Linked DNA regions of Tamandua tetradactyla. The protein of the gene in region 1 purifies or fractionates together with the protein of each later gene. This does not show direct contact. Links are inferred from orthologs where the notes say so. Each region holds a gene or a part of one and is shown in the gene's direction. Other genes may lie near its edges.

Region 1 (10,136 bases):
GTGTCATTCAGGGTTTCTCTCTCAACTGCGAAGGCATATGGCGAACATGGTGATGTCTGCTGGCCTTCTCTCCAGGCCTCTTGCTTCATGAAGCTCCCCAGGAGGCGTTCTCTTCCTTCATCTCCAAAGATCGCTGTCTGGTGGACTCTGTGTGGTTTTCGTGGCTCTGCTGTCATTCTAGTGGATCTCCCATCTCTCTGTGGTGGTTCTGAGGCTTTCTCCTCATTCTCAAACGGAACTCTCTCCAAAATGTCTCCTCTTTTATAAAATTCCAGTAAACTAATCAAGACCCACATAGAATGGGTGGAAACACGTCTCCATCTAATCAAGTTTAACACCCACAATTGATTGAGTCACATCTCCGTGGAGATAACCTAATCAAACCTCCAACCTATAGTCCTGAATAGGGGTTAGAAGAAACCGTTGAATCCACAAGATTGATTAGGATGAAAACATGGCTTTTCTAGAGTACATAAATCCTTTCAAACCAGCACACCATTTAAACTGTCTCTTTTGTGAAGTGCCTGTTCAAACCTTTTGCCCAATTTTTCTATCATATTAGATTTTCTTTTCTTTTTAATTACACAATGCATGAATTTGTCCTTGTAAAAATTTAAAATACCCCAGCTAAGATTCAGGTTCCTTAGACAACCCACCCCAATCTCACTTGCCTCTCCAGAGGTGTGTTTTCTTCCAAACCTCTCTCACTACATTTAGACACATACAGTATAGCATAGTGGCTAGAGGCATGGACTCTGGAGCTGGAATGCTTGGGCTTGAATCCCAGCTCCACCATTATGATCTGTGTAATCTTGGTTAAGGTACCCAACTTCTCTCTACCTCACTTTCCTCATCTGTAACATGGGACACCATGTGCCCCTGCTCTAAGAAGGACTCCACATCACTTCTGTGATATTCATGCCAAAAATGTTAACCTGAATCTATTTATTGAAAAACATCAGACAAATTCTAATTGCAAAGCCACTGACCCAAACACTTCAAAATGTGAATGTCTTAAATGACTATTTGAGATTAAAGGAGACTAAAGGAACACGATGACTAAATGCAACCCCTGACCTTGAATTGCATTTTGGAGCAAAAACAAAATCTACAGGGGATGTTACTGGAAAAATCAGGGGTTTTTTTTCCAGTAACATCCCCTGTTTACTAGGTAATGGTAGAGTAGTAAGGTTAAATTTTCTGAATGCGATTATTGTATTTTGGCGATGGAGGAGAATGTCCTTGTTCTTAGGAAGAATATGTTGAAGCATGAAGGCTTTGGGGTGAAGTATGAAGGTACCTGCCACTAACTAAAAAATAATTTAAATGGTGAAGGAGAGTAAATCTGGCAAAATGTTAATGATTGGCAAGTCTAAGTGAAGTATATATTGGAGTTTATTGTACTGATATTGCAGCTTTTTTGGTGAGTAGGATTTCTTTCAAAATACAAAGTTGGAGAGATAAATAAAAAGAAAAACCAAGTAGTATAATGTGACAGTATCATTGTGCACCTCCCATTGCTTTAACATGTCTTGGGGATGATCCATGTCAATGCATGAAAATCTAGCTGATTTATCTTGTTTTAAAAAAAATTGTATTGAAATATCTTCATGAACCATACAGTGCATCCAAACTATAAAAGCAATGGATCATAATATCATCACATAGTTGTGTATTCATTGCCATGATCATTTTTAGAACATTTGAATCACTCCAGAAAAATAAATAAAAAGAAATATATATATATATCCCATACCCCTTACCTCTCCCTCTCATTGACCCACTACTATTGCAGTCTACTCAATTTTTCACCCCTTATCCTCTCCCTATTCTTTATTTTTTTGTCACTTTTTAAAAATTCATCTCTTCATACCCTGGATAAAAGAAGCATCAGCCACAAGGTTTTCACAATCACATGGTCACGTTGTAAAAGCTATAGTCATACAATCGTCTTCAAGAATCAAGGCTACTGGAACACAGCTCAACAGTTTCAGGTATTTCCCACTAGCCACTCCAATACATCATAAACTAAAAAGGGGTATCTGTATAATGCATAAGAATAACCAGGATAACCTCTAGGCTCAGTTTGAAATCTCTCAGCTACTGAAACTTCATTTTGTCTTTTCTCTCCCCTTCTTTGGTCAAGAAGATTTTCTCAATCCCATGATGCCAGATCCCAAACTCATCCCCCAGAATCATGTCCCATGTTGTCAGGGAGAGTTATAGCCCTGGAAGTCATGTCCCATGTAGGGGGTGGGGCAGTGAGTTCACCTGCCGAGTTAGCTTAGAGGCCACATCTGTGGCTTATTCATTTTAACAGCTGTGTAATACTTTGTTATGTGACTGAATCCTGGAATAGGTGACTTCTCTCCTATTGATACATGTTTCATCTGTTCTCATTTTTTTTTCTACAATAGTAATGGCCATGACCAAGAAAAGAATTTTCCCAGGGACCATTCTAAAGTAGAAGAGTTGGGACTGATACTTCTTGTCTGTCTATGGCATCTAACCTCAGACTCCAAGCCACTCAGATCATGAGGACAGAGATGAAGTCTGCTTGATATTCTACCCACATTTCTTCTCCTGCTTGAATCCTCTGTCCCCTCCCCTCAGTAATCTACTGATCCTTCTTCCGAGGGGGACTTCTGGGATGAGATCATAAAAGACATTTCAACTTCCACCTTGCCCTCTCTTGAGTCCTTCATTTCGGGGGGAAATAGCTGCCATGTGAAGATGCTCACATGTATTTATGGAGAGATCCACTTGGTGAGCAGCTGAGGCCTCCTGCTAATGGCCACACTAGTGTGCAGGCCAGCAAGTGAGCTGTTTGGGAAGCAGATCGTCCATCCCCAATCAAGCCTTCAGATGACCACAGCCCTGGCCAACTTGCTGACTGCAACCTCATGAAAGACATCAGGCCAAGACCACTAGCTAAGCTGCTCCTTAATTCCTGACTCACAGAAACTCTGGGAGACACTAAATGTTTATTGTGGTTTTGTGCCACTAAGTGTTTGGGAATTCATTACACAACCACAGAGAACCAATACAACACTCAAAGTATCCTGTAGTTTTTCATCACAGGATTGTTATTTCTTATCTATTTGTGTAACATCATTTAAACCTATGCCCCATTGCTAGGCCATGAATGCTTTCACAGCGGGATCAGTACCTGTTTTCTTGCTGCCGGTTCGTTCTTCCATTCATTCATTCATTCATTCAGCAAATGCCAAGTGCTACCTATGCTGGGCATTAAGATGAGTCCTGGAGATCAAGACCAGAACGAATGTGAGGCAAATTTAGTGCCCAGGGAACACGATTTAAGGAAGCACTCACTTTCATCCTCATGCAAGGGCTGAGTGGACACCTCAGAGTGAGCGCCTTTTAACTTTTCTCATTTTTTGTGCATGAGTGATTTTTTAATTTGACACCCTGGGTGCCTTACTTGGTTCACCCTAGTCCAGCCCTGTTGGTAATGGAGCAGTGCAAAAGTCAGAATAATCTCTGGGCTCTGTTTGCCCTTGTGTTGAATAGCCACTCATGTGTTTGTTCTTCTGTCAATATCACATTTTCAACTTACATACTTTGATAATATGGTGATTATTATTAGGGAAATTATGCTCTTGTTACTAATTCTAATTATTTTATTGGGTGCTTACTATGTGCTGACAATCTTCTAGGTGATAAAGATAACAGTTAACAGACAGGAGCCCTACTCTCAGCGAGCTCACCACCTCACCTCATGGGGGATCTAGACGACATACACACACAGACAAATAAAATCATTAATAGTTGTAATTACAGCTATAAAGAAACCAAACTAACAGCTAATCTAGAGAGAAATGGAGGGAGAGAGCTTTTTTCTTTGAAATATATAGGTACTCATTTACTAACAATCAACTTTTAATATCTAGGATTATAACAGTAACATTAAGTATGTTCCTGAAAGTTACAAGCTAAACAATGAAAAACTCTAAAATTAGAAATCAGGGTCCTGCACCCCTTCTCAACTTGAAAAAGTCAGAAGAGGCATCCCCCCCAAAATCTCTATAGATTGGGAGAAGGCTTAAAGGAGACATTAGGAGGTACAACAGAGAAAATGGGATTTCACAAATAAGTATGACTGCTGAATCCCTATATTAGTATTCCTTCTAGCCTCCAGTGTTTGGGAGCAGCTAGAAGGAAAAATCTGAAATGGTGGAATGGTAGCCCATGACAAACTCTGGGATCTGTTTTGTAACTACTTGTTTAAATGAGCTTTCAAAATTATTGCTTTTTTCTTGCTTTGCTTTATATATAGACATATATTTCAAATAAAAATAAAAATTCAGGGTCTTATATGTAGGTTTGCAGAGGTGGTAATTCCAGGCCAGCCATGGAAACTATGGGGGAAGGCGCTCCAGGGAACAGCAAGTGCAAAGGCACTGAGGTGAGAAGGCACTTGCATATTGGAATCACTGAAAGAAGACTAGTGTACCCCTGGCTAGGGAGTGAATGAGAAAACCCTATCACATGACATCGCTTAACAGTGAACATTCATAACGTTAAAGCATTTTACTTGAGCACTTTTTATGTGGCGGGCACTGTGTTAACTTTGGAATCTTTTCGAAGCTTTAAAACCACCCGACCAAGACAGATATTATGATAATCCCTGTTTCCCAAATGAAGACTTGAGATTGGAGAGGTGAAATCCCTGGCCAAAAGTCACCAAGGCTAGTGCGAGGGCAAGATTTCCACACAATTCTGACTCTCAAATTCACTCTCTTAAGCCACTGACCATCTCTTACAGGGAAACCTTCCACATATTTAAAACAAAGCACTGCGTGAGCCCAGAAAGACACTTTCTCGTTTCCTACCACAAATTTCTTATTCAAAACGTGTGGGAGGGGAAGGGGAGCTCTGCCTTAACTACATTTCCCAGAAGGCAACACTCACTACGATGGTTGTCATCCATGTCGGGAATTGTAGTCCTCTGAGGAAATGTTCCCCCAGAACTCTCCCCATGCAGCAGGGAAGTGGGTAAAGGACAGTCGCGCAGCATGCTGGGAAGAGGACCAGGCTCTTTCCCCACATAGCTTGCGTACGGATGTACAAACGCTTTCGTGGAACTACAACTCCCAGAGGGCCGTGCGCGAGAGGGCGAGGCGGGTCTTTTACCGGAAGTCCGCTCTGCCCTGGGCCCCCGACAGCAGCCAGAGCCGGAGCCACCCAGTCGCCACGGGATCTGGGCCACTGGGGTCCGGACGGGGGTCGCCATGGTAACGGGGCGTGCCCACGCCGGGGACTGGCGGAGGGGGGTCAGCGTGCAGACACCTGGGCGCTAACAAAGCCCCCAGCCACGGCACGATGGTCTGGGCCCGGCGCGGGCTCGCAGGGTTGGGGCTGATCTAGGATCGAGAAAGGAGGGACAGGGTCGTGATTCTGCACGCGGGGGTGGGCCAGGGTCCCGAAGCGAGGGGGCATTGGAGACGGGAAGGGTATGGCAAGGGAAGAGGGCAATACAGGTGGGAGACATCGGAGGCGGTTGAGGGTGTTTAAAACTGGAGAGGTAACTCTCGAGGAAGGGTCTCGGGAGTAGGCAGACGGCTCTGGAAGTGGGGAGCGGGCGTCTCAGAAGGAGGGCTCTCCAGGGAGGAGTTAGGAGCGTTGGGGAAGAAGGGGAGACATTGAAACAGGGCAGGGGGGAGGGCAAGAGAGAGCAAGCCGGCCTTGCAGGCTAGGAAATGGAGTTGAAACTGGGGCAGGACACTGCAGATGGAGGGAGATAATCTCCAGGGGAAGGGACTGGATGCTAGAGGCCAGAAGTAAGGCACTGCAGGGAATGGGGCTTTAAATAAATCAGGGAAAGTATGCTGCAAAAAGGAGAGTGAGTGAATACTAGAAATAAATGGAGGTGCATTGGGGCAGGGCTTTCCAAGAGATGGGTTCTTTGTGGATAGGAAGTAGATGTACTCTTGGAGCAAGGACTGAGCATTGGATTTGTGGAGGGGGCTTTGGAACAGGAGAAAGGGCCTCTGGACAGGGAGTTAGGAAAAGAGATGAATGGAGGAAGGGGTCAGAACAGGATGTGTGTGTGGTGGGGTGAGTCTCCCCAAGGAAGTAGTACCTTGAAGGCAGGATGGTGCCTGTTAGAACAGGAGAGGAGTTGAGTCAGAGGAGGGATGTCTCAATGAAAGGACCAATTGAGGTCAGAGAGGGGGAATTGAACATGAAAAAATAAAGGTCAAAAGGGAATGTCTCAGGCAGGCCACGGTGGCTCAGCAGGCAAGAATGCTTGTCTGCCATGCCAGAGGACCCGGGTTCGATTCCCGGTGCCTACCCATGTAAAAAAAAAAAAAAAGGGAATGTCTCCAGGGAAGATGGAAAGGTTGGGGGTCATTCAGAGGGATGAGGGTACAGGAGGGAGGGGGTGTCTCAGAGTAGATTTCCAGAGGTGGAGAGATTCTAGCTGGGAGGAGAAACAGGGAAAAGGTATATGAGAGCACTTAGGGGTGACAGGCAGAGCCCTCCCTCAGCTCTGTAGGCCTGCTTCTAGCACCTCTGGCTCTGTCCCCAGGCTGTGGCTGCCTGGTGTGGATCCTGCTCTCCCACCCCCATGCCCATATACTCCTTCCTGCCCTGCCAGGAAGTGGTTTTCCTTGGTTCAGCAGAAGAGGTTCTTGGAAGTAAAGTGTAATATCCTGTTCCCTTCCAGCTTGATTGGTTAGGGGAGGAGAGGTAGAGCATATGGAGAAAGAGATTTAAGAAAGAGGCTGAGACTCCAAGTAAAAGATGGAGGCTCTACAAAGCATGTTAAAAGGGTTCAGAGCAAAGCTCTGCTTTCTGCCTTTGGAGACTTCCTTTCCTTGTGCCTTGGATTCCTCACCTATGAAATGGGCATAAGCATGCCTGTCTCAACCAGAAGTGAGCCCAAAGGCAGGCTTCCGAGCTGGGTGAGTTTGGGCCCTGGTTTTTCTCAAAGCCAAATAATGATGAATTATAATACTAATAAAAACTAATACTTACATGACATTTAACAAGTGCTAGTCCTATACTACACCCCTTATGTTTATTAACTCGTGCAGCAGTCCTGTGAGGGAGTTATTCTTATTGTGTCCATTATACCGAAAGAGCAAACTGAGGCCCCTAGAGGTTAAGTGACTTAACCAGGGTTACACATCTCACTAGCAGTGAATGCTGGGACTCATTCTGGCTCCGCTATGTGTGCATTTAGCCATTTGGCTCAAATGCGTCCCGGTCATAATACTGGCTCATTTTACTGAGCACTTTTGGCATTAGCTCATTGATTTTTTACAGCAGCCTATGTGGGTTGACCTGGCCTTGCAGTAGTGTCATAACAAATTTTCTCTCGTCAGAACAGATGAGAATTACAGCTGACACTGAGCACTTACTCTCAGCCTTGAATCAGGTGCTGAGTGCTTCTCACCTCTTGTTTCCTTATCACATCCTTATGAGAATCTATTTTCCAGATGAATAAACAAAGGCACTAAGCAGTTAAGGTACTTAAAAAATGGCAGATACTTTGGAAAACAGTTTAGCAGTTCCTAAAAAAAGTTGATCAGCTTTACCAGTGGCTTAGCAATTCCACTTCTTGGGTCTATAGCCCAAGAATTGAAAGCCGGTGTTCAAATAAAAGCTTGTATACAAACGTGCATAGCAGGACTATTCACAACAGCCCCAAAGTGGAAACAACTAAATGCCCATCAACAAATGAGTGGGACAAACAAGTTGTGGTATGGATGGCCGTGCGATGGGATTTTGTTCTCCCATAGCGAGGAAGGAGTGTCAATACAAGCCACCACATGGCTGAACCTCAGAAACATCATTGTGATGTAAAAAAAAAAAAAAGCCAGGCACAGAGATCACTTAGTATGTGTTTCCATTTACCTGCAATGTCCAGGATAGGCAAATCCATAGAGTCAGAGAGCAGATTTGTGGTTACTGACGGTTGCGGGTGGAAGCGGAGGGCAAGCTGGGGGATTTCTCTTTGGAGTGATGAAAACGTTCTTAGAATTAGATAGTGGTGCTTTTTGCACAACTCTTTGGATATGCTGAATTGTATACACTTTAAATGGGTGAATTTTATGGTGTATGAATTATATCTCAATTTTTTTTAAATTAGTAAGGGGGAAAAAAGTGGCTGAGCCAGGACTCAGACACTTATTGAGTGCCTGCAGTGTGGCAGACACTGAATTAAGTTTATAAACATTTAACCCTCAAAACAGCCTGACAAGGAAGGTCTTCTTAGGAAATGCATTTTGTAGGCGAGGAAACTGAGGCTTAGAGGGATAGGGCCCTTGTCCAAGTTCCCGCAGATGAGAGGTGGTAAAGACTGATTCTAGCGGCTTCCTCTCTACTAGGTGGAAGAGAAGTCACTCCCTGGGTGTTGGCAGGACTGGGGATGAAAGGGGAGGCCAGACCCCCGGAAGGGCAAGCACAGAGCAGCAGAGAGGGGGGACCCCTTCTTCCCTGTGTGGGTGGGGCAGCTGGTGTGCCCTGCCTGGCCCGTGCCCTCCTTCCTGCCCTCCCTGCCCTGCCACCCGCCTGCCTCTCACTTCCTCCTTCTGTCCCCAGATCCGCTTCATCCTCATCCAGAACCGGGCGGGCAAGACGCGCTTGGCCAAGTGGTACATGCAATTTGATGACGATGAGAAACAGAAGCTGATCGAGGAGGTGCATGCAGTGGTCACCGTCCGAGATGCCAAACACACCAACTTTGTGGAGGTGACGGACCCCCCTGCACACACACACACACCTGCCCCCGACCCCTTCCTTCCCTGCCTGCTGCCCTCCCACTGATGGCAATCACCCTTCAGACCCTCCTCCTTTCCTACACTCATGCATGCGATGCATTTTGACTTTTAGCTTTCTCTCCTTTCTTTTCTTTTTACTTTTCACTGTGAGCATTTGCAAGCGTATAGATGACTATAATGAGTGAAAAGTTGGTTGAGGATGAATATACCTGCCACGGATCTAATTGGTATTATTTTGCCATCTGCTCTACCTTTTTCAGTTTTCGCTAAAGGATTTTTTTCCTGGTCCCCTTTTAACCCTTATTATAGAAATTTTCAAACACCTGAAAGGAGATGGAAAAGAGTAGTGGACCTCCAAGTGCCCATCCCCCTTGCTAAAGCATTTTGAATTAAATTACACACACCCTAATGTTTCTCCCCTTAGTATGTCCAGTTGTATCTGAAAAAATGAAAGCATTTGCTTACGTTGCCACAGTGCTATTATCGTACTGGAAATATTAATAATAATTTCTTATCATTGCTATCATGCCCAATCAATATTTAAATTTCCCCCAATTTTCCCAAATGAGTTTTTAAAAATGATTTGTTCAACTCTTGTTCAACTCTAGTAGAAAATCTTGCCTTGCTTTTGATTGCTGAGTCTCCTTGCTATGTCTAAAGCTATGTCTTTACCTTTTCGTTCTCACAACATTAACCAGAGCAAGCAGACTGTCCTGCAGAATTCGACAAATATTTTTCCAGGGTCTACTGTGGGCCAGGCACTGCAGATACAGCGGTGGCCAAGACAGACGAAGTTCCCAGCCCTCGGGTTGCTGTCATTCTAGATGGGGGGTGACACTTAAGCGTATGGTGTCTCGGGTAGTGACGAACACCAAGGAGGAAACTAAGCAGCCACAGGAGTGAGTCGTGCTGGGGCATGCGTGCCATGGAGTGGAGGGCAGTTTAAATATTTTGGTTGGAGAAGGTCTCAGTGAAAAGGTGATTCCAAGACCTGGAATCGAAGAGAGCAAAAGGAGCTGCTCTATGAGGGAACATTTCGAGCCAAGGGGGCAGCACGTGTGAAGGTCCTGAGGCAGGGACATACCCCGGGCATTCTAGGAAAAGCAAGAAGTCCAAATGTCTGAGGTGGAGTAAGCCAGGGAAAGGGTGGGAGGAGATAAAGTCAAAGATGTGACGAGGACAGATGGCATAGAGCCTCGTGGGCTAAAGTGAGGACTCTGAGTGAGATGGGAGCCAGAGCAGAAGTACGGAAACCACTTGGGAAACAACCCCAGTGGTCCAGCTCAGTCTTATTGATCACTGGAACCATGATGGGAGCACTGGAGGTGGCAGAAGTGTTTCGGAATTGGAACCAACTGAATGGAAAAGGAGCCAGGAAGGATGTCT
Region 2 (10,136 bases), on another chromosome or scaffold:
TGTATTTATATATGGAAAAAATGCTAAAAGGAAAGTGATCAAAATGTCCATAGCAGGGACATTCTGATTTTGATTTGATTCTGAGATGGAGAATCACAGGTGATTTTTATTTTCTTCTCTAGCCTTTCTACAATAAGCACATAATTATTTTCTAACCGGAAAACAAAAAACTAGAACAAAACCAAAAAATTTTCTTTTTTTTTTTCTTTTCGCATGAGCAGGCACCGGGAATCAAACCCGGGTCTCTGGCATGGCAGGCGAGAACTCTGTCTGCTGAACCATCATGGCCCACCCTAAATGTTCTTTTTAAAGAAGGGAAATAGCTATTACAAGATCCCTTCTGCTAAGCACTGGTTCTCAAACTTGAACATGTTTCAGAATCGTCTGGATGACTTCTAAAACAGATTGCTGCCTTCGGCTCTCCTTCCCAGTCAGTAGCTCCGGGTGGGGCCTGAGAATTTGTATTTCAAAAAAGTTCCACTGGGCTAAGAGATGGGAAGATAGCATCATGGTGTAGTGAAAATGACAGGGGTTTTAGAGGCAGTCAGTTTCTATTCTGGTTTTGCTCTTTGCAGGCTGTGTCTAACTATAGCTAATCCTTCTCAACCTCTGTTTGCACTTCGATAAAATAAAAATGAACACCTCATAGTTGCATTGTGAAGGTTACATGATATGGTATAAACATCTAACATAGGGTCTGCCTTCTTTAAGGTTCTTAATCAGTGTTAGTCTCCTTCCCTTTCATTTCCCCTGAAGGTGCAGCACACATGAGCCTCAATTGGGTTACCGTGACATGATTTAGCTGCACCACAGGTCAAATCATTTCCTCTAAACCTACCAAACTACATGAGTCCCCCTGATACTAGCAAATTCTTTATTGAGTCATCTATAGAATTGGGTAATGGTATCCTGATATCTACTTTGATGTAATAGACAGTAGTATCTACTTTGCAGGGATGCCAGGAGGATTAAACAAAATAGTATGTTAAGTGCTCGCTACAGTAGCTGGCATTTGGAAGATACTCACCAAATGCCAATTTCCTTCTCCCTTCTCTTTCACGGGTATTTCTCCATCATAACTCCTAGGCCTAGTTAAAAAGCTTATCTCGTCTAGGATACTTCATATCAATTTTTCTGCCTCAATCAGATTGTTACTTTCTGTGTAACATTTAATTTTTGCATGTTTTTAAAATTAATTATTTCAAAATATAGAGCTCCATTTACCCCCCCCCCCCCAGTTTTCCCTACTAACATTTTACACTAGTGTGGTATGTTTTTTACAATTGATGAACCAATGTTATTTATTTTTACTTTTATTTTGTGGCATAGGCAGGCTCCAGGAATTGAACCCAGGTCTCCAGCATGGCAGGCGAGAATTCTCCCATGGAGCCACCATTGAACCAATGTTATTATATTAACTAAAGTCCATGATTTACAATAAGGTTCACTCTGTGATTTATTGTGGTACTATATATAATATAAAATTTACCATTTTAGCCACTTTCAAGTATGCAATTCAGCCGTGTTGATTACAGTCACAATGCTGTGCTACTATCAATGCTAATCCATTCCCAAAACTTTTCCATCACACCAAAGAGAAACTCTGTACCAACTAAGCTTTAACTCCACATTGCCTGCTCCCACCCCTGCCCCTGGTAACCTGTAATCTACTTTCTTTCTCTTTGAATTTGCATATTCTAGCCATCTCATATCAGTGAGATCATCGAATGTTTGTTCTTTTGTGTCCGGCTTATTTCATTCAACACGATGTCTTCAAGATCCATCCATGCTGTAGCATTATGTCAGAACTTCATTCCTATTTATGGCTGAATGGTATTTCACTGTATATACACACATATGTATGTATATACCACATTTTGTTTATCTATTCATCTGTTGAGAGACACTTAGATTGCTTCCACCTTTTGGCTTAATGATGCTATGAACATTGGTTTATAAACATCTGTTCGAGTTCCTGCATTCAGTACTTTTTTGGTATATACCTAGAAGTGGGATTGCCGGGCCATATGGCAATTCTATACTTAATTTTTAGAAGAATAGCCAACATGTTTTCCACAGGGGCTGCACCATTTTACATTCACACCGACAAAGCAAGGGGGTTCCTATATCTCCACACCCTTGCCAACATCTGTTTATATTCCATTATTTAAAAACTAACAGCCATTTTAGTGGTCGTGAAGTGGTACCTCATTGGGTTTTGATGTGCATTTCCCTAACAACGGGTGATATTGATCATTTTTTTCATATGCTTTCTAGACATATTTGTATATCTTTTTCGAGAAATGTCTATTTAAATCCTTTGTTCATTTTTTAAATTGGGTTGTTTGCTCTTTTGTTTTTGAGTTGTAGGCATTCTTTATATTTTCTGGATATTAAACCCTTATCAGATATATGGTTTCCAAATATTTTTTCCCATTCTGTGGCTGTCTTTTCACTTTCTTGATAATGCCCTTTGATACACAAAATTTTTAAATTCTGATGAAGTCCAATTTATCTATTTTTTTTCTTGTGTTACTCGTGCTTTTGATGTAAAGTCTAAGAAACCATTGCCTAACACAAGGCCTTGATGATGTTTTCCTACATTTTTTCTAGAAGCTTTATAGTTTCAGTTCTTATGTTTAGATCTTTGATCATCAATTTTGAGTTAATTTTTGAATATAGTGGGAAGTAGGGGTTAACTTCATTCTTTTGCATGTGGATATTCAATTTTCCCAGCACCATTTGTTGAAGGGACTTTTCTTTCCCCATTGAATGGATTTGACACCCTTCTCGCAAATATAAGTGAAGGTTTATTTCTGAACTTTCAATTCTATTCATTGGTTTATTTCTGTGTGGTTACGTGGCACAATTAGTTCAAAGTCAATTATTTGCTTATTTAAGTATAGGTAAGGACCCGCTCTATGTAAACTACTGTATTGGATGTTCAAGAAAATAAATAGTACATTATCCCCTGCATTCCGAGATACTTGGTTGAATTGACAATATACATGAAAAGGTGAATAGGAATGCATGGCAGATTGAGATAAATTTTACAGAAAAGCATGGTAGGAGTTTTGAGATTATAGAGTGGTGATCTGTGATTATTTTGTACTGTGAAACCAAAGAATTACTGAATGTCGTAAAAGAACTCTGGTTTTATGATTGAGAAAATAGGCCAGAAATTTTAGTGGCTTCAGGTGACATCTATGGAGTAGCAGAGGTTTTCTGTCACTTACTACTACACTGCTTGTAGATGTATTTCTAACTATCCCCAAATCTTTTCAAATATTTATATTTGCATTTTCAATATAAGCAGTTTATTGTACTCAAACACTGGGCTCTAAAGCCAAAATGTTTGGGTTTGGATCCTGGCTGTGCCTCTTACTAACTCTGTGAGGTTGGGGAAATCACATATCTCTGTGCTTCTGTTTCCCTGTCTATAAAATGGTTATATAATAGTACCTGTGTCATAGGGTTGATTTGAGGATTAAATAACTTATTATATGGAAACCTCTTTCTAATTGTGGCCTTATCATAAGAGCTATTAGTGTGTTATCAGTCTCTGAGAGAATGGAAGGAAAGGAATTGTCTTTTTTTTTTTTTCTTCTGTTTTCAACCACCTCCCTCAGATTCTGATCAAAGCAATCAGGTGGATGTTCAATAAATACACATTAGCTATCTTATCCTATTGGATAAAAGGTATATTTTTGTATTTCAGAAGGAGACTTGGGATTTGGGCAAAGGTGGTCTAACTCAGTACTATGGAAAGTCTAGAAAATGAAATTCTGAGTTGATAACAGATTCTAGGATCCAACAGCCTCCCTTAAAAAGTCAGTCAAAATTAATGGGTGTTGAGAAAAAAGTCAGTGCAAAATTAATGGGGCAATGAATGTAATTCCAAATGAGCTTTCCCTTCTATTTTAAGATCTATGCCAAACTTCCTCAGACAAAACCTAGCCTTTTAAGGGAAGTGCAGAGAAGATGCTTACCTGGGTTTGCTTTGAGGGAATGTTTTAGTTAAGTGCCTTATCCCATCTTTGAGGTGGCTGCCTAGATTTGTGAAGTGAGGCAATAACACTGACTCCTTCTGAAAGAAGAGATGCCCTCTCAACACAGGAAGTGTAATTACAATGATACTTCTTTAAATCTAATTAAGCAGCAGTAGCAGCAGCAGCTGCTGCCAGGGCCAGCCTGGTTACAGGTCGGCTCAATATTCAGATTAGAAAGAGCAAGAAGCATTTATCCCAGGGCACTCTTCTCAACTCCAAATTACTGCCAAAGAAATTCTGGGATGAATTACAAGCAAGGGGTTGTCGCAGTACTAGGGAGAGTGGAGAACAGGTGGAGGTGAGAACCTATAATCAGGGTATAGAAAAATCATGGAATATTTTGCAGGGATTTGGCACGACCTCCAGCGCCATCTATCAGGAAATCTAGGACGGAGAAGAGTACCAAGGCCTTCCAAATTTTCCGGGTTTGGCAATGCAAAGCACATCGCCCAGCCCTGTCAGCATTTAGGGGATATTGGGGCTAAATAAGCATCAAAAGGACTCTCGAAACGAAAAAAAAGTAACACAAGGTCGGCTTAGGTTTCCTTTGTGGGAGGCGGGGTTAGTGACGGTCAGGCTCCCGCATAGCATCAGCAAAGGTGGAAGAACTAAGGGTCACCGCGGACATAGGAGCCCAAAGTTTGAGGCGGAGACAACCGGCCGGGTCTCCTGAATCCCAGGGTCTGTCTGCACACAGCCTTTATAAGTTCCTCGGTTTGAGCCTCGTGTGTAGGTTCCCGAATCAGGCACTGTTTTACTGAGCGTTTTTTTCAACGCCTGGCTTAAGAGCTGACTCTTGAGCCGGCTCTCAATAACATCTGGGAGCAAAAAAGTAGCTTTCGAGATTTGGGGCAGAAGGCACCGGACGGTTTTATTTATTTTAGGCTTGGCGTTCTGCTGTTGCCATAACCATCTGCCAGGAGATTTCTTTTCCGATCACCCTCCTCCTCCACCTTCTGTCCAGGTGACGTCGGCAATCCTGGCAGAATCCGCCAGGGGCTAAGCGGTTAAGCCGCGTCCTTCAGGTGTCAGCCTCATTCCGTCTGGAAACCACAATCCCCAGGATCCCTTTTGCATGGGGCCAAGCCACAAATAAGATGGCTCCAGGGGGGTAGACCGTGCAGCGGGGAGAAATCCTGATACCTGGCAGTTTGTTTACCGGATGTGTTTAAATAACCGAATCCCCACATTTGCACCACCCAGCTAACCACCTTCACGGCGGCGAAGGCCACGGCAGGCACTTCGCCCGTTCCCCGAGGGGCATCCTGGGAGTTGTAGTCCAGCCGGCGGCGGCTCAGAACTACATCTCCCAGGGTGCCCTGCGCGCCGGGACTATCAAGGTACTTTTCCAAAACTCGGTCCGCACTGAGACCCCATTCCCTGACCCCATCCTCCCCCTAGTCGGCTGCCTCCGGTTTATCGCGACAGGGCGGCGGTCTCAGGGGAGGCTCGGCCCTGGCCGCGCAGCCCCAGAGGCACTTCCGGCGGCGGTTCACTTCCTGGCTGGGTGGATGGAGCCGGGCGGGAGCGCGCGCGGGGGAGGGGCGGCGGGTCAGTCTCCGCCGCAAGCTGGGAGGATCAGCTGGCGGGCTGGCGGGCGCCGAACGCGGCCCCGGCTCTCGCTGCAGCGCCGCCTCCTAACCGCGTCGTACGATCCGACGGCCGTGACAATGTCGCTGGGCTGGTAGCCGAGCGCTGGCCGCCGAGCCGTCTCAAGTGGGTGCCGCCGGGATGCTGCCTCGCGGGGTGGCGGGGAGGATCGGGGAGGAGGGGGAGGTAGTGCCCGGCCGGGGTCGGCGCTGCAGGAGGCGGCCAGAGTCTCTCCTTTCTCCGAGCTCGGGTCTCGGCGATCCCGGGTCTCGGCGATCCCGGGGTCCGGGCCGGGGATGCGTTTTCAGCCTCAGAGGTTTTTCTACCCCAAGATAATGCATGAAGCGTTTCCCCGGGATGATGGCTTTGGCTCCCCCTTAGGTCTCAGCAATTGAATTTTTAAGTGTGTTACTGATTCATCCTCTCTCTCTCTCTCCCTCTGTCATCACAGGTTTAAACTTACACGAATCGCTCTCCTGAGGAGGAGGGGACCCGCCGCGCGACTGACACGCATATTCCTATAGGCATCCTCCCTCAGCCCCCACCCCCTCGCCCGGATTCGGGTGGCTCCTTTCCGAGCTGAAATCCGAGAAGAAATCCTTGGATCTCTTGTTTCCCTTAAAAAAAAAAAAATCTAGAAACCATTGGCTTTTTGCTCTTTTGCTGTTCCTTTTTGCAAGATGAAGAAGTTTTTCGACTCCCGGCGAGAGCAGGGAAGCTCTGGCTTGGGCTCTGGCTCCAGCGGAGGAGGGGGCAGCACCTCAGGCCTGGGCAGTGGCTACATCGGAAGGGTCTTTGGCATCGGGCGACAGCAGGTCACTGTGGACGAGGTGTTGGCGGAAGGTACGGTGGGACTCCGTCTGTGCGCCGAAAATGAAAATCTTGCTGATACGGCAGGACCCTGGTTGTCTAGTTGAATGTATGAATGGGTTTTGACCAGTTGACCCTCCCTTCCCCCTTCTCTTGCCCTGTGATTCATTGTCCTTGAGAGATTTAAAACTGAGATTTGAGAGTGACAGGGCGTGTGGAGGTTGTGGGGAGGTTGCCGGAAATCGTTTACCTTAGTGGCCTTTTATTTTTTTAAAAAATGTTGAGAAGCCACCCTTGGCTGTCTCACCGAATTATGAGGATGAGATGAGAAAACGTATGTATGAAGGTATAAAGCTTTATATCAAATACAAGGTAGTAGGTTTGTCATCCCCATGAAAGTTGAATTATCGATGTGGAGGCTGAAAGGGTGGGGATGGGAGACCTTTAAGAAAAGAGAGGGGCTTCTCTTCCCACCCAACTTTTCCACTTCCATGGTCAGCCTTTGGAAGGAAGAGGATTTTTGGAGAATGGGAATGTGTTTTTCTAAATTTACAGCTGCCACAGCCAAGGGTTTTGCATTTGACTGGGTTTGCTTCCTGACTTAATTGTAATCAGGTTCCCAAGATGTAGTTAAGATAGAAATTATATGAAATGAATGTAGTTATTTTGAATTCAGTGTTTTGCAGGCCCTTCTTGTTTATTTTTTTAACCCAAAGAAGATTACTTAAGGTGCTAAAACAGTGCTTTTAATTTTGTTTCTCTTCTGTTGGAGAGCATGTTATTTAGATCTGCTGTGTAAATTCCCTGTGTTGTGTGTGCATCTGTAGATCTATTAATAATGTAGATATATATCTCCCCCACCCCAGGCTTTAGGGAAATCTTTGCATGTCTCTTGCTAACCTTAACCTCGACCTTCATAATTATGCCAGACTCATACTTTTCACAGCCCATTGCCTGCCTAGTGTGCTTTTATTTTTAATAAAAGCAGCAATTTCCTTGGCATGAAGCTATTCAAACTAATTGGATGGGGCCAACCTGCTGTAGGTTGTGATATAGAACTGAGAGGCAGATGGGGGAAGGGGTGGCCTCTATTACTGCAACATAGGGGAGAAACAATTTATTAGCTGGGGTATGGGGAGGAGGAGAGAAAACCAAGAGGCCCCTTTAAAAAGGAGCCTTTGGCAAGCTAAGGTTGAACGAAGGGTCCTGACCTGGGCCTGGAAGATGCCTGTCATGGTGAGTATTGCAGGCCCGTGGGCTGGGAGGAGGAAAAGGCTGTGTTTGGCTCTCTGCTTGTGTAAGCACTGAATTCAGCAGGGCCTAGTTCTCTGGGGTTGGATTGAAGCCTGTACTTTAAAAACACTGTTTTTAAAATGATGTCTGACAATTATGTCTTTGTGAAATTATTGCCCTTTTCCATTCTCACTACTGCTCTAACTGGACTTAATCTGGGGCCTGAGTCACTGTCCCTCAGGATACTTCTTTGTGGGCTTTGGTGCAGAATGGGAGATGTTTCTGTGCCCGCTGCCAGATCCGCACCCTTGAGTCTGATCTGTCTTTTTCATCCCTGTGCTAAAGCCCTTGACTGCAGTGGGGGGTGAGGGTGAGGGGTGGGGTAGGGTGGGGAGGGGAGGGAGTGTGTATGTAAGAGAAATCAGGAAAAATGAGGAGGTGCCTGGCTCTTTCCTCCCCTCAGAATGGCCTCTGCTGACTTTATAGGCTAGGGGCATTTACTTTATGTAGCATATTGTCTCCTTACAGGTTCTCCTACCCTAAGCAGTGCTGATCTCAGTTCTCAGAGATGGAGAAGAGTGATGTGGAAAAGAAAAGGGAAAAATCGGTTTTCGTTACCTAGATTGCCCTCCTCTTCCTTGAAATTTATCCCTGAGAACTGCCACATCACATATTATGATGTTTTTTATGTGGAATTTAGGACTTGCAGCTCTTCACTTATTTATTAATTCATTTGCCAAATAACTATGGAGCACCTATAATGTGCTTCACACAGTACTAGTCTCTGTATTGAACTAGATACTGGAGTTACAGACTACTTTGAGAGAGAGAAAACAGCCACTTATAGTAGAGTGGTAAGTGTTAGCATGGAGATAAGCCCAGTTTTAGGGAGCCAAGAGTTGCCTACTGGAGGAAGTGACTTCTAAATAGAACTGAGCAGGACTTAACCAGGTCTTAGAGTAACAAAAGAGAATGTGATGCATTTGGGAAGATTAATAGACTTACATTTTTTTTTTCTTTTAAAGTTAGGATTCCACAGAGGTGAGGTAGGGTTTTAACCCCTCTTTGAAGAGACAGGGAAAAGAGGTGATTGGCCTTAACTAATTAATTTTTTAAATAACTGGTTGTAGAAACCGGGTCTGGCAGTGTTACCTTCCTTATGGTCTTTGACTATAATTGAGTTTGAAATTGTGGTTCATAGAAATGTGCAGATATGTAGGGAGCAGTAGACAAAGTATGCAGCACCTACCACCTAAAAAGGCACTCCTAGGTTCTGAAAGGTCTAAAATGTGGTATCTGCCTTAAGAAGCTGCCTATGAATTTGGGAAGATAGGCCTACATTCACACATACAGTAGGGTGGTTACTAGCACTGGCTTGGAGAGTCAGAATGTCTAGGTTCAAATTCTGGCCCTGGTCTTTATCAGCTGTGGAACTTTGGGCACAGCATTTCACATCTCTCATGAGTTTCTCTACGGCAGTGGTTCTCAAAGTGTGGCGCCTGGACCAGCAGCATGTATAACTTTGGGAGCTTGTTAGAAATGCAAATTTGGGGGCTTTATCCCATAAACTGGTTGGGACTTTAGCATGTTTCCCTGAGAGATTCTGATGCAAGCTAAAGTTTGAGAACCACTGCCCCTTGGGGTAGTCTTGGAGATTAAATAAGATAATATATATAAAGAAATATTTCTCATGTGTTCAATAAATGGTTGCCATTACTTTCCAGCAACATTACGCCATATATACAGTCTGTGGGAAGGACCAGTGGTATAGACAATGTCAAGGCTACTTTGGCTGTAGCATTATGAAGTATTCATTTTCCCCCATTGTATTTGGGCAGAGCCCGTTCTTTGCAAAGACCTCACGAGGTCTTTAAAGGTTCAGTAGATATTTTGAGTAGCCTTGATCCTTTCCTCAACTTTCTCCTCTGAGTCCCCAGGTGGTGACCTGTCTACCAGCCCCAGCCAGAGCTGTCTAAGGACAGTCAGAGCTGTGTCTGGAGTATCCAAGATAGTGGCCGGGCAGTACAGCAAGGGATGGGAATAGGGGCTTCTAATACAGACCCTGTTGCTACCATCCCACTGATTATCCCTTTTGCTTTAATATGGATGTGGGACTATGTTTCATAGTAAGAAATTGCAGGAACCCCAAGGAACAGGTGCTGGAGCAGACAGGATAATATGTAGACAGGATAATATGTAGACAGCTATCTCTCTGTCACCAGCATTAGTCCTGCTGGCCTGGTTTCACTAATTAGTCCACAGGGCCTTGTTGGCCTGGGGGAAGTGAAGATTCTAAATCCCAAGTTAGTGGGTTATGGCTATCTCTGGGCTGGGTAGGATAATTTCTCTCTAGCTTTCTCTGTGAAGATGAGATGCTAAATTGTCCAGGTTAGTAGGCATGTGATGTCAAGTGAATATTTGGTTTGAGCTTCCAGTGTGTGCTCAATGGGAAAA
Region 3 (10,136 bases), on another chromosome or scaffold:
ACTGGGAGTGGGATAGTAAGTCGGCAATAAGAGAAAATGTAAAGGCAATCAAGAAGAGGATGGTAGGCAGGGTAGAACACACAGAAATATGATTGCTATCCCACATTGGGCAAATACTTCTCAGGAAATTACTGCTGCCAAGAGGTTCGAGGCTGCTGTTCTGTTTCTGGAAGTAGAGGCTCCTCCATTAAGCTATGTGGGGATCTCTTAGTGACGAAGTTGCCTACCTCCTGTGGCCTTTTTAAAAGTATGGTCAAGTTCTAAGAAAATTATAAGAAAATAATCATAGAAAGGTATTTCATGTCAAATGAATAATTTTTCCTATTAAGAATATTTGTGAGCAGCTTAGAATTTTAAACTATACAATCAGATTAATTTTTCATAGATGTATATGTAAATTTTCACATGACAGGGATGATGAGTAGTTTTAATAGAGGATTTAAGTATCAGTGATGTTCAAATACCATTTAAATATTGTGACATGTATATATCCTTTTAATGGACTTTAAAACTTTTACTTTTTGGAAGGCAAATATATGGACTTTAAAATTTTTGTAAACTTTTTTTATTGTAAGATATAACATGTATACAAAACAGCAATAAATCTTAAAGTACATTTTAACAAGTATTTATAGAACAGATTTCAAAGTTAGCTATAGGTTATGGTACTACAATTCCAGTTTTTTTCTTCTAGCTGCTCCAGGACACTGGAGACTAAACAGAAATATCAATATAATGACTCAGTAGTCAAACTCAAAATCCTATCTTTTCTGATATAATGCCTCCTCCTTTGATCCTTCTCTCAATCTTTAGGGAAATATATGGATATTTAATGAGGTATAATTAATAATGTTAGGCAAGGAGAGTAATTATTCCTGATAGTTAAACACAGTGAGGCCAATAACGATAGAAGATACATCATCAAAAGTAAAGGAGAAGGAGGGAAAATGATTAATCAGGCACTGGAAGAGATGACTTATCAAGGTAATTATGGCATTGGAATAAGCCTTTTGGGCTAAACATATTGTTCAATGTCAGTCTTTCTCATTCCACATATATCTTTGAGACCCACCCTAATGCAAAGTAGATGGGGCTTAAAACAAGGGTTGTAGTTTTCAAGTAGAAAACAAAACTATAATATTAATTTCTCTTCACTGGCAACATTGTTTAAGTATTTCAGAATCTTTCAGTTACCATGATCTATTAACTTTGTGGGAATAATGTGAAATCTTGCAAAGTAAAGTAACATTTAGATTTTTAAAAAAATCTTTATTATGTGGTTAGTTCCCAACTATTTTTTTAAAGAATATTTTTACTGAGAAATTTTCACACAATGCAGTCCATCCACAGTATGCAATCAGTGGCTCACAGTATCATCACATATTTGTGTATTCATCACCATGATAATTTTTGGAACATTTGCATCACTTCAGAAAAAGAAGTAAAAAGGAAAAAGAAAAAACTCATACAGTCCATACCCCTTACCCCTCCCTTTCATTGATCACTAGTATTTCAACTTGTGGTCATTTTTTTTTTTTTTTTTTACCCCTTATCCCCCCTATTTATTTATTTACCTTATTTTTTTTTACTCGTCTGCCCATAATCTGCACAAAAGGAGCATCAGGCACAAGATTTTCACAATCACACAGTCACACTGTAAAAGCTATATAGTTGAATAATTGTCTTCAAGAATCAATAAAATGCTACTGGAACATAGTCAACAGTTAAGGTACTTCCCTCTAGCCACATTGGAGTGATCATAGACTATCAAGGGATATCTATATAATGCATAAGAACAACTTCCACAAGGATAACCACTTGACTCTATTTGAAATCTCTCACCCACTGAAACTTTGTTTCATTTCTCTATTCACCCTTTGGGTGAAGAAGGCTTTTTCAATCCCATGATGCTGGATCCTGGCTCTACCCACGTTGCCAGGGAGATTTTCACCTGCCTAGTTGGCTTCAAGAGAGAGGTCACATCTGAGCAACAAAAGAGGTTCTCCGGGAGTGACTCTTAGGCCTAATTATAAGTAGGTTTAGCTTCTCCTTTGCAGGAATAAATTTCATAAAGGCAAAACCCAAGATCGAGGGCTCTGCCTATTGAATTGGTTGTCCTCACTGTTTGTGAGAATATCAGGAATTTCCCAGATGGGCAAGTGGAATATGTCCTACTTTCTCCCTAGTCCCCCAAGGGGACTTTGCAAACACTTTTTAATTCTCTGCCTAAATTACTCTGGGATGTATCAAGGTATCATACTAATCTGCATAAACAGTTTCCAACTATTTTGATAGCAATACAGCTGTATACATTTGAGAGGTTGAGCTATCTATAAAAAAACTGAAATGTAATTTTCTTTTACTTTTATTAACTATCCAAATCTAAATTTGGGTTAAGGATTCTTATTCTTAATTTACAAAGTTGCCAAGAGGATACAATCTGACAATAGATATCACCTTTTTGATATTAAAGATGTTTTTAAATACTTGGCATTCTTTTGTTTTTAGCAATAACTGTTTTGTGGCATTAACATTCTGTGATGATCAGAGGGTATTCAACTTTTATTATATGTTTGGCGAAAATTTAAAGAACATTGTTTGGAGTTACCTTAGTTTTTGACAGGAGCCATATGCCTTATTTTAATTATAAACTTCAATATAAAAACTTGAGTTATATTGGTACATTTTAGAAACGATTTTCTTTTATTCTCTATTCTCGTTATGCTGGGCTCTGATAAAATTGAATTAAGTCCAAACTTTTTATGTTAGGCTGATTCCGGTTTTGAATGGCACAAAATGTTTAAATTTCTCCATTATTCTGCTTGAAAATATAATTCAAATATTGCAGGAATGAGACTCCACAGTGAATCCCCACAGTAAGGAAAGTGGTCAGCTTATTTCTAAATGGAAATCCCCAATTGTCTTGCCACATCAGTCATCTGATATATAGCCAGACGTCTGTAGAGCTGGCTTGTACTAAAGGTCAAGTCTCTGGATGAAAAACTTAGTTTAGTGGGTTATTTAGCAGATATGCCTAAGTCCACAGCACTGTTTCAGTACGGGAAAAATTAGTTTCTCTTCAAATAATAAATGGGAAGAAGGCAAAGAGAATTTTAAAGTTCAAAGTCTCTTTTGTCTAAGCACGTTTTCTAACGTTTCTGTCTGTATCCCAAGTCAGATAAAGAAAGAGGGGTGAGGATGAAGATGGTAGAGGAAATTGGGGAGAATAGAATCACATTTCTCTACTTCCACAGAAAGAACATACTGAAGTCGTGCAGGCACGATTTATTCAGCCTAAAATACCTCCCTTAAGAAATTGGAGCCTCTGGCCACAGTGGACCTGTATTGCATTAGGAAAAGTAGATTGGAACTGAGGAACGAATTTACCAGTCTCCGACACTCCCTAACGTCTTGTTCCCAGCTTCTTTCTCGCTTTCGTATTGCCTGCCTCACCCCTGCATGCACAAGAGACTCCTGCAGAATTTATTAAGTTGTTGCAATAAGGCTTTTTAATTTTTAAAAATGAACAGATCGCCTTTTGAGGGGTGGGGTTGGGGGATTCCAATGGCTGTTTTTGCTTTCAGATAGTTCTAATTTTGCCTGTTTTGCAAAGTTCTCGACACTCTGATCCTACTTTTTCAAAACGGGCAAAATCACGGAACCAAGAATAAAAAGGATGGATGTTTTAGTTCCAGTTTTACCTCAAGCCAGCTTTGTGATCTTAAGGTAATTGGTTAACTTCTAGCCAAAGGTGATGAATGGTCTGTAAAGCGGACTTTATACCTGTTCTGAATACCTCACACGATTGCTGGACAGCACACATGGGGTTTTAAAGTACTCCCAAGTATTTATAAACTACAAAACAATTCCCAGCACAAGCGTCTGCAAGAGCGCGACGACACCGTGGCTTTAGAAGTCGGGTTTCTGGAATCCGCTCTAATTCTGCACTGCTTCTACTTCTCACGCTTATAGTGGGTGAGAGGGAGAAGATTTTCGGGGGGCGGGAAGGTGTCTGGAAAACTGGCCTAGAAAGTGAAAAAGTTCCTTAGTGGAGGTTAAGCTATTGGCGGCATTTTTAAGCCCCCATACTGACAGACCACTTCCCATTCGAGACGACACACTCACTAAGGGTAGCGGTGAAATCGAGCCCTGGACCACGCCCCTGTGCGAAGCTGAGCCCCACAGTTTAACCCGAACCCTCTTCAACCCAGACCCCAAACCTCGCCCTCGTCCCCAACCCCCACAGCCGCCTCCACGGCTCTCCATCCACGTGACAAGAGCTGAAACCGTCACTTCCGGCTTGGCGAATAGCGCGCTTGCGCGGGGCGCCGGGCCTCAGCGAGCGGTTGGCAGCGGTGCCGCGTTGCCAACAGCCACGAGTGGCGGGTGGTGGTGAGGGTCCGGGTCTTGCTCCGGCGGCGGCGGCGCCTCAGGCTGCAGCCCTGAGGGTGTACAGCCGGAAAGGTCTAGCTCACTCCCCGGGGGGGGGCTGACCGCCCTTCTCTGTCTCCTTCACTGACCCCCTCCTCCTGGGCTCGCGGTTCTACCGCTTCGCAAAGCGGCTGGAGCGCCGGGGGCACTGGGGGAGGAGGCGGTGTAGCCCCCGCACTTGGACCCGCCCCCTCGCGCCCCGCCCCGTCCCCGCCTTCCCCGCCACCCTCTGCGGGAGTGGGGTAACTGCAGCGAAGCCGCGGAGCGGGCGGCTGGGCCGGGGCTGTGTGCTTTTGGTGTGCGGAATGCGAGGCTTGGCGGGCCGCAACGCGCAGGGACGCTCGGACGCGTGAGGAGCGGCGACCCCTCGCGGACGCTTGGCCGCGCGCCGGACTGGGGGCTAGCTCTCTCGTTCCGTTGCGCGCTCCGCTCTCCAGCGCGGCGGCGGGACCATGAAGAAGTTCTCTCGGATGCCGAAGTCGGAGGGCGGCGGCGGCGGCGGCGGCGGCAGCGGCGGTGCGGCTGGTGTCGTGGTGGCCGGAGCCGGCTCCGGCTCAAGTGGTTCGTCCCTGGGGGTCCGCGTGTTTGCGGTTGGGCGCTACCAGGTCACCCTGGAGGAGTCGCTGGCCGAAGGTACGGGCACCGGGGAGTCTCGGCCAGGCAGGTGAGGGAGGGCTGGGGTGTGGCGGTGTCTTCGCTCGATCCTCGCCGGCCTTTCCCCTGGTCTTCTTGGCCCACTCTTCTTTCTCTCTACCTCCTCTTGTGGCCCAGAGGGGTTTCTTAAGTAGCTCGGACTTTCGTTCTTAAGCTGCCTTTTTTTTTTTTTCTCCGCTGGCAGCTTTGATCAGTGCCCCGTTCTCTCATTACGAGTTTAAATCATTTTCTGTCCTTGACGCGAGGAAATAAATAGAAAACGTCCTAGCAAGTGAGGTGGTGTCATGATTGGACCAGTGACTCATTAGCGGGTCAGATCCAGCAAGATTGAGGCTCCGCTTTGCCAGCTGTGGTTCAGGCGGGTGTCATGCATTGGTTTCTTCTGAGTCCCGCGCCGCAGGGCGCAGGACCCTGCAGTCCCTAGTCGTGGAGTCTGGCTTTGCTGTTGCTCTGTCATCAGTTTGAAACAACCGATGGGGTGAGGGTAGGGGGGCTGGAGGTGGTACTTTGCCCTAAATTCAGTTAGTAGGTTACTTTGGGAGAGCAGGTAAATTAGAAGCCCTTTATCTGTGTTAATTCAAAATCTTTTCTATCACACAAGGTGCTTATTCATGCTCTTCCAGTATGTTTCTATAGTAGCACTTTAAAAGGTTAGTTTATCCTTGCGCAGTTTTGTGATCCATCTTTCATTCTCTCTAACAGGTTGTGACAGCAGTTACAAGTCTGCTTACAAAAAGTTTACTCCATTAAGGAAAAGAGAGCGAGATCCTACAAATTAGTCTTATATTTCTTGTACAGGTGGCTTATAGTAAATTCTCTCGTTTATGGTACACTACATTGATTTTGAGGTTATTAAATTGCAAAATGATACTACAAATAAATACTTTAAACAATCATAAGAAATAATATTTTTTGCATTGGCAGGCACCGGGGAATCGTACCCTGGTCTCTAGCAAGGCAGGCAAGAACTCTGCCTGCTGAGACACGGTGGCCTGCCCAGAGATAATTTCTTTTAAAGTAATCTTTTTAAGTTCCAAAGTTAAGAGAAAAGAAGTGGAGGAAAGTAGCTGTGGTTTGCCCATATTCAGATGTTGGTGTGAAAATCTAGACTGAACAATAGCAAACCAAACCACAGCAAGTAAGAGCAAGAGAGAAACCTGGAGATTTTTGTATACAAAATATTGCAAAAAGAAAGAAATCTTGAATTATTCAGGCCTGGATATGATGATCCTACCTGAATCTTGGAAAAGTGAAAAGGGAAGAATCATTAGCTTCTCAGCAGAATGACTGTGTGGTTCTTAGTCCTGATAGATTTGCTATGTTGTGAAATTTCCTAGATCTATGTTATATATAAGTTTTGAGTGGTGGTTTGAATTGGGTTGAAGGTTTTAAGAAGTAGTACATCTTAGGTAGTGTTGCGTTCACTCATTTCACTAAATCCAAGAGGGGTCTTTTATTTAGTAAAAAGAAAACATTGACATTTTTTTCTAGCTAGATTTTGACTTTATAGCGTGTATCAAATTTTAGTACTGCCCAAAGCAAGTCATTTTCAATAAAAAATAACTGACTTTAGGAATACGTATTTTTACAAGTCTATAATAGAAGATAGAAATTAATAGAAAATAGAAAGTAATTTCAAAAGGGGTGTTTTCACTAAATCACAAAAAAAATAACTTCTCAAACCCTAAGTCACTGTTAGAGTTCCACCGTTTTTGCTATCATTTTGCCCTTTCTTTTGAAAAAGTCAATAATCAGATACTAGTTATAGATGACGATAGGAAACAAAATATGTTTTGGTGAATCTCTGGATAGAGTAACAAGAGAATAGGATTAAGTCAAGAGAGGAAGCAATGGTTGAAGAAAAACCAGAAACTCCTGTAGCTCCCCCCACCCCCCACTCCCACATCCCCATTAAGCTTTCCCTGGAGGGTACACTAGTGACTAGGCTTTCTTTTCCTGTGCCTTTCTTGTTTCTTTAGCACATACACAACTGGAATTATTATAACTGTATTCAGTTTACTTTTCAATTCTGACAGATTTATTCTGATTTCAGATGCTTAATAGCTTCTTTCCTGCAAAATAAGTAATGCCTCAGTTAGACAGCTTGCTTAAACACAACTCTGGTTCAATTCAAGCATGATCAATTAATAATTGACGCATACATCTGCCTGATTAAAGACTGGAACAAGTGCTGGTGAAAAGGCATTAGAGTATCTGTATTGTAGAGAGTGATACCACAGAGTGAGAAAGTAGTGAAAGCTAAGGCAGATCAAAAAACAAACTTGATAGATTTTACATTTTTATTTTTGCTTTGTGTCAGTGTTGAACAAGATCAGGGCCAGCTGATACTGTGCCCTGAGGTGTTTTTGCCATGCTGTTGCAAATATAGGTAGCTTTCTCAGAAAGACCTCTGCAGTCTTTTCAATAAGTCAGTCTCCATCAGTCTTTCTCTCTCTTTTTATATATAATGTGTATTTAAGATTTTTTTTAAAATAAAAGGCTCTCAGGAGTATACTTAGGTTGTACTCTGTAACTAACTGTTGGAGTAGTTTATTTCCTGAAATATATTAAATGCTTTGTATAGTTTTAATTTCTTCCTAGGCAAATACGAGATATGTTTGAAAATACCACATGGTTGCATGCTAACAACTTCCACCTTTTTAGTTCCTGCTCAAAGTTAGCAGGACTGATAAAACATAGGCATTTTCATGGTCATTTTCAAAATGGTTTGGTATCAGAAGGGTATGCTAAGCAAATCCTAACTTTGGTCTGTAGAAATGAGGTAGAGTCATATATAATTTTAGCTTGACAGTGTCAAGTTTCAAAACATTTGTCAAGCACATACAATCAATGTAACCTTCTGAGTTCTTAATAAAATTTTAATCATAAATGTTGCCGAAGAAGGCCTTCAGTGCTAATCAGAGGAATTTAATATTGATTGATAATGAGAAAAAGTTGGTTCTTGAGCTGGAGACTTGTAAAAATATGTATCCTTAGTACAAATGGACTAAAATAAATGGAGAATGTAGAGACTCAGAGACCAGTGCTAACTTGTTGAGATAATCAAGAAACAAAGTGATGAGGGCTGAATAGGTATGGTAGTGTGAATGTGGAGATATGGGTGATACTTAACAACAAATGGGCATGGGGCTTGATGGCGTCAATAATTGAAAGCCATGAGTTTACTACAGAGTTCTGTAAAAATAGCTTTCTCTGAGTTAACTCCTCAGATTAGGATGAATGAATTTAGTCTAGGTAGTGAAAGATAGTAATTGTTAGTTTTACATAAAGGAGTGATGTACATCTGATTTTGTAATATAGTAGGAAGATGATGTGTTTAGCATGAGATCTCATTTGCAGAAATCCTCTGAAACTACTCAGTAACTTCTAGTTTGAACTTCCTGAGCGAGGACAGAGTTTTAAAGAAGAAAGAAAATTTCACAAAAATGTCAATAATTGTTAAACTCAGCAACTACTTATTAAATGCCGTTTGTGTGCCAGGCACTGTGCTATGTGCTACTTATACAGTAGGGAACAAACCATATATATTTCTGGTTGTATGGAGTTTATAGTCTAGTGTGTGAGGCAAATGTTAAACAGAAATCACTACGTTAATGTAGCTAACAATTTTGATAGGTGTTATGAGGAGAAAGCACAGGGTTTTATGAGAAAATGCTGATTCAGTTTATGTGTGTGGGGGAATCAAGGAAGACCTTTTTGATTTTTTTAGCAGAAATCTAAAGAATGAGAGAAGTTATAAGCTAAAAGCAGAGGTGTGAGGGTAAGGGTGGCATGGAGCATGTCATACAGAGAGAAGGTGCTACATTGGGGAGAGTAACAGGAAATATGCTCAGATCTGTGAATTAAAATGAGTGAATCACACAGAAGTACCCAACATGATGTTGGAGAGGTGATCAGAGTCCAGGACTTTGTATACCATGTTGAAGATTTTGAGTTTTATCAAAAATGCCATTGTAAACTATTGAAGGATTTTAGTTAGGTCAGCAATATGCTCCGATTTAAGTTTTTTACAAGATCATTTTCACTGCTATATAGGGAATCGCTGAGAGGTGTAAAAATTAGATGCTTATTGCACTAGTCAAGATGGTAGCAATGCGGGTGGAGATGAACGTTAGAAGACTTGAATGGGCAGATCTGGTGGTAGATTGGATGGGGGGAAGTAGTAGTAATTGTCCAGAATGAGCATCTGGATGGAGGTGCTATTTACTGAGATGGGAAAAAGTAGAGAAGAAACAGGTGATTTTTTGGGGGGATGGGGTATATCCAGTAGTTCCAGGCATGTTTAGTTGAGCCATCTGGGAGCATACGTCATGGGAACTTGGGTATATGGTCTGGAACTCAGCAAGAGATAGATACTGCTAATTGCTGAACATTTGGTGTTTGTTATTAAAGGCCTGGGATAGAGTGTAGAATATAGAGGAAGGGCTTAATTGACGGACTCCAGTGGAACATTGGTTGTCAAATGCTAGTGTGCATGAGAATCATTTGGAGGGCTTGGTAAGTCATACAGATTTCTGCACCTGACCCCCAAAGTTTGATTCAGTAGGTCTGGGCAGGAACAAAAGTTTGCATTTCTACCAACTATGCTCAGTGATGCTGATGCTTGCTCCTGGTCCAAGAACCACATTTTGAAAACCACTGATTTAGAGTAGAGCAGACAAAACCAGGAAGGAGCTTCCATAGAGATATGAGAAGTACCAGGGGAGTCTGATGATTTGTAACTAGAGAGTATTTCAAGAAGGTGAGGAGTGAACACTTGTGTTTCTGAGAAATCATTAAGTAGGATCACATTTTTTAACATGGCATTCATGATTATCCATGCTCAGGCCTTAACCTACCTTTTAAGTCTTGTCTCTAGTTACTTCCTAATAATACTCTTTTTTCTAGTCATAGTGTACTCTACTTCCTGTTCTATGACTGATTTTGTACTTGTCCTTCACTTTGCTTTGCCTATGTAATCCCATCTCCCTAATTGCTGGTTAAGAGCATGCCCTCCTTCCTGTGGACACTTAGAGCTATTTTGCTTTTAT

What was found.
Region 2: the proteins of AP2S1 (region 1) and AAK1 purify together in Homo sapiens (affinity purification with mass spectrometry; 4 studies listed by BioGRID and IntAct, counting the BioPlex papers as one, with this or other methods). This does not show direct contact. The link is inferred for Tamandua tetradactyla from reciprocal best matches to the Homo sapiens genes AP2S1 and AAK1.
Region 3: the proteins of AP2S1 (region 1) and BMP2K purify together in Homo sapiens (affinity purification with mass spectrometry; 4 studies listed by BioGRID and IntAct, counting the BioPlex papers as one, with this or other methods). This does not show direct contact. The link is inferred for Tamandua tetradactyla from reciprocal best matches to the Homo sapiens genes AP2S1 and BMP2K.

The regions. Positions count from the first base shown.
Region 1 is NC_135342.1:14,399,844-14,409,979, forward strand, and holds the start of AP2S1 (AP-2 complex subunit sigma), read left to right. Parts: upstream 1-5,077; 5' UTR 5,078-5,252; coding exon 5,253-5,255; intron 5,256-8,571; coding exon 8,572-8,721; intron 8,722-10,136. UniProt on the Homo sapiens protein: Component of the adaptor protein complex 2 (AP-2). Adaptor protein complexes function in protein transport via transport vesicles in different membrane traffic pathways.
Region 2 is NC_135343.1:43,108,996-43,119,131, reverse strand, and holds the start of AAK1 (AP2-associated protein kinase 1), read left to right. Parts: upstream 1-5,318; 5' UTR 5,319-5,389; intron 5,390-5,612; exon of another isoform or gene 5,613-5,765; intron 5,766-6,090; 5' UTR 6,091-6,319; coding exon 6,320-6,482; intron 6,483-10,136.
Region 3 is NC_135350.1:49,751,110-49,761,245, reverse strand, and holds the start of BMP2K (BMP-2-inducible protein kinase), read left to right. Parts: upstream 1-4,319; 5' UTR 4,320-4,883; coding exon 4,884-5,064; intron 5,065-10,136. UniProt on the Homo sapiens protein: May be involved in osteoblast differentiation.